2 linked regions of the Neodiprion lecontei genome follow. The protein of the gene in region 2 interacts with the protein of the main gene of each other region in a pairwise test. Links are inferred from orthologs where the notes say so. Each region holds a gene or a part of one and is shown on either strand. Other genes may lie near its edges. The genes, in order: ADP-ribosylation factor-like protein 2-binding protein and ADP-ribosylation factor-like protein 3.

What was found.
Region 1: the proteins of ADP-ribosylation factor-like protein 3 (region 2) and ADP-ribosylation factor-like protein 2-binding protein interact in binary tests that used the Homo sapiens proteins (3 or more experiments, as listed by UniProt). The link is inferred for Neodiprion lecontei from reciprocal best matches to the Homo sapiens genes ARL3 and ARL2BP.

Annotation. Positions count from the first base shown.
Region 1 is NC_060261.1:35,069,853-35,077,189, reverse strand, and holds ADP-ribosylation factor-like protein 2-binding protein, read right to left. Parts: upstream 5,114-7,337; 5' UTR 5,073-5,113; coding exon 5,048-5,072; intron 4,895-5,047; exon of another isoform or gene 4,737-4,894; coding exon of another isoform or gene 4,476-4,736; intron 4,321-4,475; coding exon of another isoform or gene 4,057-4,320; intron 3,973-4,056; coding exon of another isoform or gene 3,768-3,972; intron 3,580-3,767; coding exon of another isoform or gene 2,666-3,579; exon of another isoform or gene 2,640-2,665; intron 2,318-2,639; exon of another isoform or gene 2,080-2,317; intron 1,920-2,079; exon of another isoform or gene 1,776-1,919; coding exon of another isoform or gene 1,757-1,775; intron 1,615-1,756; coding exon 1,504-1,614; intron 1,373-1,503; coding exon 1,266-1,372; intron 1,155-1,265; coding exon 1,069-1,154; intron 992-1,068; coding exon 895-991; intron 779-894; coding exon 686-778; 3' UTR 549-685; downstream 1-548. Other genes in the region: nuclear pore complex protein Nup93, read left to right, coding at 1-215; protein nessun dorma, read left to right, coding at 2,666-3,579, 3,768-3,972, 4,057-4,320, 4,476-4,736; RNA pseudouridylate synthase domain-containing protein 2, read left to right, coding at 5,114-5,239, 6,354-6,653. UniProt on the Homo sapiens protein: Together with ARL2, plays a role in the nuclear translocation, retention and transcriptional activity of STAT3. May play a role as an effector of ARL2.
Region 2 is NC_060262.1:4,089,507-4,094,552, reverse strand, and holds the start of ADP-ribosylation factor-like protein 3, read right to left. Parts: upstream 3,176-5,046; 5' UTR 2,861-3,175; intron 2,785-2,860; exon of another isoform or gene 2,587-2,784; coding exon of another isoform or gene 2,417-2,586; intron 2,301-2,416; coding exon of another isoform or gene 2,126-2,300; intron 1,876-2,125; coding exon of another isoform or gene 1,749-1,875; intron 1,650-1,748; coding exon of another isoform or gene 1,520-1,649; intron 1,176-1,519; coding exon of another isoform or gene 982-1,175; intron 791-981; coding exon of another isoform or gene 540-790; exon of another isoform or gene 536-539; intron 57-535; exon of another isoform or gene 1-56. Other genes in the region: RCC1 domain-containing protein 1, read left to right, coding at 540-790, 982-1,175, 1,520-1,649, 1,749-1,875, 2,126-2,300, 2,417-2,586; uncharacterized protein LOC124293339, read right to left, coding at 3,542-3,777, 3,860-4,032, 4,140-4,319, 4,494-4,680, 4,748-4,914, 5,026-5,046. UniProt on the Homo sapiens protein: Small GTP-binding protein which cycles between an inactive GDP-bound and an active GTP-bound form, and the rate of cycling is regulated by guanine nucleotide exchange factors (GEF) and GTPase-activating proteins (GAP).

The sequences.
Region 1 (7,337 bases), on a different chromosome or scaffold from region 2:
TAGCTGACGTTCTTCTTGCTACAATGACTATTTTGTATAAGCTGTATCAAAAACTACGCTCAACTGAACCAGGCGACGAGGTTGCGAGGGAACAGCAACTTTGCGATCTCAGAGAACAAGCCAGAGCCTTGACCAGCTTTGCGGGCACGATCCCTTATCGAATGCCGAACGAAACAAACAGTAGACTCGTTCAAATGGAAATACTAATGCATTGAAGGAGTGAATTTATTTTTGCGTACAAAGCTGAAAAAATGTAAGATTCAAACATTTAAATAGATTATGATTTTGAAAGCTACGTTTAATGGTTACAAATTTTTTGAATTTTCTCGATGATTAATTTGCGCACAGGTTCCGTTCTAGTAAGTGGAAACTATCTTTATGAAACAAACGAAACAAGACAGTGCGATAAATTAAAAAAAATAAACTAATGAACACCATTTGCGTTTCTTTTTGAATTAATGAAGACTGCAGTTATTCGTGAATTTTTAATATTTAAAATAAACCACAGGTACTAGTTTATCACAATAATAAAACAAAATACCATTGAATTCCAACTTCATTCGCGTTTATTTTCTATCTTACATCTAACAAATACTAGATAATTAGTAATAGTATGGATAAATTTGAAAAAAGTGCTAGGTAAGCATTTTATAAAATGTATCATTTGGATGGAGCTCGCGATTGGTTAACCAGTAGGCTCATCCCGCTCTGAGCTCGTTGATTTGATAGATGTAATCGAAATCCCGGCGCTAAAGTCTTCCACCTTTCCTTCTTTTACCTAACGAATAATAAATTGGTTTTATATTGATATATTATCTGTTTGAGTTCAAACGCAACTCATTGTCAATGATAAAAGAAAGTGCCCCAACGATGAAGCAGTAATCCAAAACTTACAGCTTTGTAATCTAAAATCATTTCTTTGAATGATAGAAAGTCTGTTAACGTCGCTAAAACTTCAAAAACTTCTCCATCCAGTTCAGGACGTCTTTCACTATAAGAAAAAAAGGCATATTAGCGAACAGCACTGTTTACAAAACTACGGGTCCCACAGCAATTATTGTCTCATACTTAAGCTGGTCTAACAGAACGTGGATTGAAAAGTTAGGAACAGACTTCTTGAGCTGCTTAACGATGTAGTTTTCTATTTCCTGGTTCTGCGAAAGAGAAGAGAATTAAACAAGTTGGTGATACCTTAATCTAGCTATACACTCTGACTAATAAAATTAATTTTCTACATGTAAGTTTCCTAGTTATGCAAAACTTACATACTGATTAAAGATTTCCATGTAAATCAGTTTATTCTCTTCCTCGGGTCCAAATATGTGCCAGTAGTTCTCCAAAAATTTCTGCTGTAGCTCTTGGAACTCGCTTTCTAAAACAGGAATTTTGTTTATACTTTGGAATAAAAATTAGCTGCTCTATAAAAGAGATAAAACATCGCTTTCCTAAATTTTTGCTTCAAAGATTCTCAGATTCAAAGAAGAATCATAAAATTCTCAGTACCCATCAAAAGATCTTCTATGTACCCGATGATTTTATCGAAACCTGCGTCTCTGACACCCTTGGATTCCTCGTGAACTTCTTCGCTGTCAGTATCCATGGGTGTTATGTGATCTGAATCACAAAATGTTGGACTGATAAGTAAGTTAGGAAGTGAATGTCAGGTCGTATCATTAAATTAAATGTAGTGCAGTTTATCACGCCAGTCTGTTGGTGACAGTTTGAAAGTGGGTCAAGAAATATTTTTTTAACGAACCTATAACTTCTGGATTCATTTTAAACAAGGCTCATGAATATTATTTCTAAAGTTCCATAACTTGCGTTGTATGTATTGAAGAACTACACGTTAGTGCGTGGTTAGTACATGCGTCTGCAATGTCAAAAGATTTGTTTACTATCGAATCTGTCATGTAAGCCGCCATGTTGTTTCACGCCTAGCAACGCCGGGTTCTTGAATGCGATTGGCTCGTTCAACCTGACACGGTGTGACGACAATTTTTAAACTTGAAAAAAAAAAAGTTTTCAATTAATGTTCACAGAGTTTGAAAACACCAAATAGCTCTTGAGGCCTGAGTAATAATCCGAAGTCACTTTCAAACACATATCGTGGCTGCGTAAATAGAGTTAACCGAATCTTTTAGCGACCAACGTCGCTGCTTAGCAGACGACACGGCGTAACGTTTTTGGGATACCGGTTGTTGCATGTTTGTGGTTAATGGCGTGCTGTTATTTTAGCAATTTTAGCAGCCTGTTTGCATTCCTGTCGCAAGAGTTATTTAAACGTGAATACTTTTTCTTTTTAGTGAATCAAATTCAGGTAAGATTATCATAATTTTTCCTTCAATATTAATCCTTCTAGTCGAAATCTAAGATGTTGCGGATTTTGATGGATAATAAGGTTTAATTAAAGTAAAACAGTAGTTTTTTAAGCCGTTGGTATCAGGTATTTTGAAATCAAATTTAGAGTTGAAAATTTTTCTCTATCTCAAAGTAATATCATTTCAGTTCAACTCTAGTGATTTTAAATCCTCCTTTCAAATGATTATTCAACAATTTCTTTGTTTCTCTACTTTTTGAAATGGGTTATAGGCCTGATGCGTCCTTGACCAGTGGTTAACAATAATGTTTTGCTTATCCAGCTATTAAAGTGAAACGGAGGCTAGAGATGTCCATGGAAATATTTGCGTTTGATAAAAGCCTGCAGGAGCGGCTGGTCGAATACTCGGAAATATTAACAGCGGGTGCAAAGGTAATTCCAGCATCTCAGATTCACTCCGAATGGTCCTGCTATGTTGAACTGGTGATAGAACCGGTTGGTTGGCGTGCCCTATGGAAAATCCCAAGGCTGACCTGTCAGGACTTCGAAATCCATTATCCTACAATTGTTGTTGTTGAGGTTGAGAATGTGGATTTCCAAGAATTATCTGCACTTGTTAAAATAGTTGCTGTTCAAGATGAGATACAGCTTCCTGAAAAGTATGACGTTCCTCTGAACGAGCTTTACCCAACTCAGCACCAAGAGAATACAGTCCTTGATATGATTGGTACAGCTAACTGCATCGATCAGTTAAGATTCTTTTTTAATTATCTCTGGATGCCGTGGGATACGGATGACGATGACGACACCGACTGGGTTTCACTTCATTTGGAGCCAAGAATAAGATTATTTTTTGACATGAAACGCGGGGTTGTCAACAAAGAAACTTGCGACGTTATAAGAAGCTTGACCAGAGAAGGGAGGGATATTCAAGCAAAAATCACAAGGCTCGAGGAAGATATATCAGACGAAGAAGAGGATCAGGATCAAGTGCTCGATGACGGAAAAGCCTGCCAGTTAATGAAGCTTCATTTTCGACTACAGCAGATTAAAACTGAGATGGAAGTTCTGGAAAATCCTGTTATGAGGGAAGTCCTCACCAGAAATAAAGGCTCGAACATGACGGATAAAGAAGTTAAGAACCGGGAAAGCAGAGGGACGAGATCTGAAGGATATTTTGTTTGGCTCGGAGGATCTGTTCAAGACATGATCTCGTCTTTGAGCAATGTTCAGACAGTCATTGGTCCCGATATGTTTTTGAAGTAAGAGGTTTCATAATCTGTATGACTCATTTTATGACTAATGATCGTTACGCATATTCAACAGTAAATGATTTTTAGTTGAAATACATTACCTATTTTTCAATAAATCAGATCTGGGAACCTTGATTTTACAAAAAATAGAGAACTGACGATTTCTAACATTTTTTTCATCATTATATATTATTCAGAACTTCAAATTGCTTGCAAGAAGCACTGGATGCTTCTGAAGCAGGTGATATAGTAGTTCTCGGTGAAGGAGAGCACCAAATCAGAGGCGTTGGAGGCCTGGAGGAAGGAGGCAAATTCAAGGGGTTCGGCAGACTTGGAGATACAGTTATCTGTGGAAGGGAGACCGAATGTGGGCCGTCCTTGATGGATTTTTCAGGCGGGGAGGTACGAATGACATTTACGAAAAAAATAACTATACTATTACTAATATATGTATAACATCATACTCATTAACTTTCGTATCACCAGGTATATTTAGAAGGCATCTCCATTCAATTAGGCGATCTTCAGATGGGTTTGCTAGCTCGCAAAGGGAAGGTCCAACTCATTGGGTGCAGGATTTTCGTTACAAATAAAAGTGTCATCAAACTAGGCACTGTGGTTCTGCCTGGGGCTAAATTAATCGCCCAAAATACGACATTTGAAGGGCTTGGAACTGCAATTGTAATTCATTCAGGAGGCAGTGTTACTTTAGATGGATGCTACTTCAACGAATGTGTCGAAGGTATTCAGGTAAGGTGATGATTAATATTTAAGTGCTGTTAGTTCTATAAAAATTCCATAATCATTTTTAACACTCTAATTACATGAAAAATGTACTGGTAGTGTGAGATTCTCAAGGACCTGATTCACACGTGGGCTCATTATTGATAATATCATTATTTCAGATGCACGATAATTCAAGTTTGGCTGTAAATAATTGCTCATTATCGAATTTCAAAGAGCACAGTATACGCATGGAAACTCAAAAGTATGTAACTGGCCCTGAGGGAAAGATTGGGAGTAGTGAGCTGCTGCAGAATGTCTCCGAAATTAATATCAAAGATTGTCAATTCGAGAACAATGGTAAGGGTGATATTTTATTTCAAGCTAAACCGTCCGCGGCATTCTTCGCTAAACAAGAAGGTAATACGAACATGGTGTCTTAAATATATTATATTCGTGAAAATGTGTCTTAGATCCCGTTATATCCCGTTATCACAGCAATTTCCAGAGTACATTGTGACAAAAAATTTTTTACAAAGTTTACCAGATATATCCCTTGTTACTTATCTTTAATATTAAAATAAATGTATATTTAATGTAAGAAATTGGAGGTTTTCTTTGTAATTGGTATGTTTGAAAATTTTGGCTTTCAAAAATTGTTTACCGGTTTAAACATTGTAAAGTAATTTTAACTCATAATTCATGCCGAATAATTTTACCACAAAATTTCAATAAGTACTCATAGATTTCTTACCTTTTCGCCAAAGAAATATCTTCATCTTACGAATATCTTAATTTTTCGTGGTAAAGATTGGTTGCAATGAACGCCGCAAGATGGCGCCACCTTATCAAATTCAGTAACGATTCCGCGTGCTTACGTTTCGACGTGGTTGTGCGAGGTGAAACAAAAATACAGATGAGGCTTTTGAGCTCGTTGAATACATTGGTAAATCATTGATGGATATTGTTTGTATAATTAAAAAAGAAATGTACGCCGCATGAGAGATTTGCGTCATATCGCGAACTGGTGGACCAAAGAGTTAGTAAAAACGAAATAATTTGAAGATAAATCGAGATATTGTCGGCTTCATGTTACCTAACCTCAAAATCTTCGGAAGCTATGATTTGTACACTGTGTCCCAAATAAAAACATTAGAAACAACCAGACGCATCGCGTACGTATTAATTTTTGTTTCTACGTAATACGAATAGGATAATGCACGTTCAGGTGTTAGATGAGCAATACTGACTGACGCCGCATGTTCCCAAAGCAGGGTTACGGTTTAGCAGAAAAAAATCAGATTTGGTTCACGTATTCGTGCAATGTGTTTCGAATCGCAGATGCGTGAACTATTTAAAGATGCGATAGAATATTTTATGCTCGTTGTATTTTTACAATTGTATATAATGAATTAGGGTTAACAGCTGTTTCTTCCTGTCTTTTGGGTAAAAAGATAATTAATTGTTTGAGATCTGTGTGACGTGAGACCTCCCGGGCTACGTTTTGCTTTGAGTATTGTTTTTAATGTTATGTCAAGAGTGATAATTTATCAATCACCCTACGTACACGTATGTAATTATTCCAAGCGGCACATGTCTTTGCCAAAAATTATATCGTCGCTACTTTTGTCACCAATATCAGTCGCGAATTCAAAACATTGGCGCATAAAAAACAATTCTTGAAAAAATTATTCTCTGCTCTGAATACGAAGAAATTAAAAAATTATTGAGACACTGAGCAAATAAATCCCGGGTTATCTTCAATTTTGCAAAATCGTAACGATGACGCAGAAAAATAAAAAACGAGGGATAAAGTTACGTCCGTTTACCTATTTGCATAGTATGAGTACGTAGCATGATATAAATTTATATTTTTTATATTTATAAAGATAAATTGCGGATATAATATGATCGGGAAGGAATAGCAATAAGCCTGTGTCGTAAAATTCGTGAAAAATATTGCCATGTGCACAGAGATCGAAGCGCAGGAGGCAGCGAGGGCGGGGACGTTAGAAATTCGGCTTTTCATTACCCGTAAAAGACGTTTATTGGTGTTTCAGGTATCTGAACTAGGAAACTGCGAACGACTCGGTAAATCTTTGAGGAAACTACGACGTGCCTGGCTCACGACCGCAACAGAAGAGGCGGTAGTTTTACGCGTTTTAGCAGTGCGAATTTATCTCCGAGTACCCAGTTGCAAAACCACCCCGGAAACAACGATGGTCGAAACTGCCGTCCTCGAGACCATCAGAGACAAGCATACGCAGTTCGGCCATGCTCGTCCGCTCGACTGCTCCGACTGCATTTTCGTATTCCAAGAAACTCTCTCCGATTACGAGGAACCCACGTCCGACGCGGAGGTGAGTTGATGCATGCCAAATATTCGCACGTACCCATTCGCAGCCACGAGGACACGGAGCGCGACATTCGTAAGAGAGTGTTTAGTGGTTGTTGAAAATTGCCGGAGAAGATATTTGAAACCTGCTTCCACAATGTGTTTGTCCCTGCTGTAAGCGAATTTTTGATTACGCAAAAACTCCCCTTGAAAGCTGAATTGTGGGTAACCAATTCACCACCGTATTGTTTAAAAAAATCTTTTTAGTGACATTAAAGGAATATTTTTGCCACCAAACGTACCATCGTTAATTCAGTTAGTTGATCTAAGAGTTGAGAGTTTGAAACAACACTATCGACTGAAATTCACATCGTGGATTATCCACGCTGAAAACTGTAACATAAATACATATAATTCAACGTTTGAAAAGTATAACGATAAAGGATCGGATTTTTTGGGTAGCCGACGCATGGGATCAGTCAGGTGTCAGCTTCTTGTAAATTCAGAAGCGTGGTTTACATCATGGGAATTGCCAGGGGGATGCAATACGTCTAAAATTTCAGCAGGAGATGGTTTTTTGATCACTGAAATATTATACCAGGCTATGAGGATTATGCTAAAGGAGATATCAAACAGTGGTTGGAGAAAGATTTTATTCTCATGGCTTTAATCGATGAGGAAATTATTGCACAAATCATAAGATCAGACT
Region 2 (5,046 bases):
CCGGAATCACTGCAGCAGTGGAGGACCTTTTTTTTCAGCGCCGTCGGAGATCGCGTGTAACTCGAAAAATATTTAATTTTTTTCTTCAAAAATCTTACTGTGTATTCTTAAAATATGTATAAATATACCCTTGAAATTTTAAAATAATTGATAAATTCTTCAGATATACAGCACATGTAAACAGTCGAAATTTGTATTCTTACGTGAAAAAAAAAATAGCATTTTTTGCTAATCTATCATGAAAATTCGAATGCCAATTTAGATTCAAATTTAACTCGTGCCAAAATAAAATTTCTCACCTTGTTGCTTTTGTTTTTCCGCCGTATTGGGAATATTAAATTTTGACAGTCAAAATTATGTTACCATGAGGAATTTTTAGGGTTTAAATATTTAAAACCCACTAAATCTTTCATAAATTTATATGTTAATAAAAATTTGGTTCATGCAGAGTTTAATTTAATTAACCTTTTCCGTGGAATCTGAGAATTGAATAGCAAGATAATAAACATTATACGCCTAATTCTTGTTTTTTCAGCACAATGAAGATATATTACACTGGTTTAAACAACAGCGAATTATTTTGCGACGAAGAGGGGAGCGTGAAACAAGTTATTGATAAATTTACAATCGTACCCTTTACGGGAATCGACGATTTGGAAATAGGATGGAATTACATTCTTTTATGGCGGGATAAGGAACTTTTCATTTCTGGTAAAATAAATCTCAATGAGTCGACTGAAGTCACTGACAAGATTCCGGTCTTACTCAAACTACCGGAAGAAATGGAAGGGTCAGTAATGTAGAATAAAAGGCATAAAAAAAAAACTTATTGATCAATGAGAATAACGACTCGCACGAGTTTGGAAAGAAAAATATTGCAGATTATAAATTTTTCAAACGTAAAGCGAAGCGAAAAATTCAGCTGCTTTACCGAATTTGTTCATTTCTGGCAATTCAACTGAGAAAAGTTTCATATTGCAGATGCGTACAAGCAATTCCTGGCAAGGAAACGATTACAATTTTATCCGTGAAGCACGAAATTTGGCAGTACAAAGTATTCGACAAAATGTGGAAACAGGTTTCAAATTTCATTCAAGCGGCTGACGATAATTCGGATCAAGAATATACGGTGAAAATCTTTCAAGGCGGCTGCACCGTAGCCTTGACAAATTTCGGTAATTCAAATGAGAAATATTTACTTACTAATTTTTTATGTTTGCATATTATGAGGACTACATTCACCGTTCTAGACAAATACTTCTCATTTTTCATTTATGCTTAGAAATACGCCAATGACTGTATACTTGTTGTCACTATTGTTATTAATACTGTCATTATCATTCAAAATCGGTATTAACATTTTTTTGTTGTGTTTATGTTGTTTTTTCAAACCTAATAGGAGAATTCAAAATGTATTGAAAACCTTTTCCTAATATAACAATCATCCCCCTCGGAAACACAAAATTCCCAAAAACTTCTATAAATGATCTCCCATTCGATAATTGTATACATTTTTCAGGTAGAGTATACAATATTCCAATATTGGTAGACATGCCAAAGCGGGTGAAATTCACAGACGTTGCTTGCGGCTTCGATCACACGATTATATTGGCTGAGAACGGAGAGGTTTATTCAATGGGAATGGGAAGGTTAGTACATGAAATGACTATTAAACCATTTATCGTGTAAAATTATACTTCTGAAAAAATTAAATTTATCCGACCAAACGTTGAATTTCTATATTTTAGCCGTGGTCAATTGGGGCACGGTGACCTTGAAGACTGTGATAATCCAACGATAATAGAGGCACTGGCTGGTCTGAAGGTGGTTCAGATCTCCGCTGCGGGTTGGCATAGCGCAGTGGTCACAGATCAGGTATTTATTCAAAAGTCATTTTACAAGCCGAACGAAATTTCATAAAACAACAATTGCGGTGTGAAATTTGAAAGATGAGAAAAATGTTTTCGACACGAATAAATTTGGTGAAATGAGCCACACGAATGTAATGATTGCGTCATATGATTGTTTGGAAGAATATTTTTGGACGGAACAGCGTTTTTTTTTTTTTAATGATTTTTCGTCAAAATTCAGTACTTTTTTTATTTACTACGATTATTTTACACAGGGTGATTTATACACGTGGGGTTGGAACACAGAGGGTCAAATGGGAATTCCAGATGAAGGCACGAAGGTTTATGCAACCCCAAAACCGGTTGATTTTATGGATACCGATGGCCGCGCTTTTGACGCGTCGGTAAAAAAGGCACAATGCGGCAATGCGTTCACCATTTGCATGATGGGTGAGAAAATCATTTTATCAGCAAAAATTGACGTTACTATACCTAATACCATTTGCAGAAATTAAAAGAGATGAGAACTTTAACGCTTCCGTGTATAAAAATAATGAATTATTTAGATGACAACTCGATGTGGGGATGTGGATCGAATAAATATGGGCAGCTGGGTATGTCCAGAGACGCGTTGACGAATTCGAGGACATTTTTGAAACTAAATACTGCAATTGATGAGAAGGAGATCAAGAATTTCAAATGTCGGGAGTGGGGTGCCATCATCATCACAGATTAATAGACCGAGGATTCAGTTTAAAACATGTTTGTAAATGTAGCTTACATTTATCGGTTACAAAATGAAAAAAGTTTGTAAAAAAAATCCACGATTCAATTACTGTAAGCATAACCCACCATAATATGCTTTAACCAATTCATTAGACTACTTTATCATTGCAAGCTTCACGAGAATGAAAAATGTGCAGAGTCAAATATACCGCTTGAAATGTGCAATCCAGTCATATTGCATCGTGATTATTGAATAAAAATTTGACAATAAGATATTTTCTTACCTTCTCGTAAGCTTCGTTGCATCATTATACTGCATTCAACACAGTTTCAATTCACCATTTCACTTATTGCATTCTATTGAATGTTCTTCCGACATTCACTTCAAAAGATTGCACACGAGTTTTCCACTGAGCTAAATAAAACTTTGTCATTTCACTGGCAAAAATAAACGAAACACAGTGTTCGACGCACTTTTCTGCATTCAACATCTTGGCCTCGTATGAAAAACTACGAATCTAACTTCGGTAGAAATGTACACAGAAATTCACTGACACGTGCAGCTCAAGCAAGATTAAAATTGCACAGCGCTCGACCGCGCACCGACACGCACGATCGCCATCCGTGAACTGACGCGCGAGGCGCTGCGCTCAAGCCGACACGGTGTAAAACGACGCGTAACGACGCATGCGCGAAATTCAGCGTGCTGCGGGACCGGTTATTGCGGGTTGCAGGCGCTCGCTGCGTCAGGCGTAGAATTAAAATTCGTAAAATGATGTTGAAATCGATTGGCTGCGATAACGAACGCATTTGAATCACGTTTTTGGAAGTTTTCGGTCTTTATCACTGATGAATACCATGATAACAATTAAATTTACCATCAGCCCCGTGGATGTTAAATATTTTATTTTTATAATTTACTCTGCAACGAGTACGACAAACATTATTCTCACATTCGCGTAGTTTCATTTACGCTTTCCCTTTGTACCCTTAACCCCCTTTTTACCAGAGCCAATATTGGTGTTTCCATTATCGCTTGGCGGCCGTTCTGCATACCGTTCAAGAAGGCGAGGCGCCTCGATGGAGTCCTTGAGTGGCAGGATGAACTTTCTCTTCTCAGCGATTATTTCCTCGTCTGTCATTGATGGGGCTGGGGGCGGTGGAATATCGTCGGGTGTTTCAGACCTGCGTTTCTTTTTCTCTGAAAAACGAAAAATATATCTTCATTTACGAGAAAGGATTCCAATTTTTTTATCACCGATGATCAAGCTCGTGTATCGTACCTTTACTTTTCCCGGACTTGTTTTTCTTCGATGTTTCCTTAATTACTGGAGGTGGAATCGGTGGCTCCAATGGCCTCGGAAAACGTAGAGTGTATGGGAATTTGTATGTGTGGAGTTCCACTGGCTTCGCAAAAGCTGCACTCACCGTAGCGTAGTGAAACGCATTGGCATACCTGCAATTCATGATTACCATTGACGTCTTGACTGTGGGTACAACCTTTGGATCAACAATTTAGTTGCAGGTCATTACGAGCTGAGGTATATATATTTTGGATCTAACATTGCGTAAGTTGACTCTATTATTGCTTCGTGAACTTTCAACGAGCCTTCAACCGTCAAACGAGCTGTTTGGCTTGAATTCAGGCTTCTTCGACCCCTCGAAATGTCACCATCGGCTGATGCCTGCACCATTGCTATTTCCCCGTTTTTGTGGTTTGCTGAATTGTTCAGGACAACAGAACTGCAACATTTCATGATAAAATACGATGAAAACACTTGGCATTGTTACTTCACATCCCAGTAAATGAAAACCAGTCAGCGAAAATAAAGTCTAAGGGATTTTAAATGAAGATTGAACTGATTGGTTTCGAACAAATCACTTGTCTTAAATTTTACTGACAAATATGCAGGTTACCTGTTTGACGTTTGAAATACAGAACTCGGTTCATTGTTCATTGATTCCTGTTCACTTCGTCTTGACGATTCCACGGCGGTTAGTTCTTCCCAGTAAATCATTGAGTGACCTTCGATTATCTGGTCTGATGCTAGTGCAAATAACCCAGCCATTTCCTGGAAGAATTCCGTCCGACTGAGCTGCTTGTCTATAAATTCGATGAATAGTCAGGATTTTAATTTCCCTGAATTTTTCCGAATGCTGTCTTCAGCCACCTTGAATGAGTTTTGCCTCCCCCGCAATCCAGCTGACTAATATACCCAGTTCTGAGGAATTGAGTTCTGAGCTCCACCGAACTACTTCGAGAGCAATTGCGTCGAGGAGCCAAAAGGTCGCCATGTTAGTCTGATAGTCATAGATTCCGAGCTTTCTTCCGAGGGTTCTAATTGGAAATACGAACGTCACTTCCACGTTGTACAAAAAAGTAATCTAAGCTACTTTTTATTCTTGTTTTCAGTTCGGACTGCAAATTTGAGTAAATAATTATACTTACCCGATTAAATCCCGAGCATTC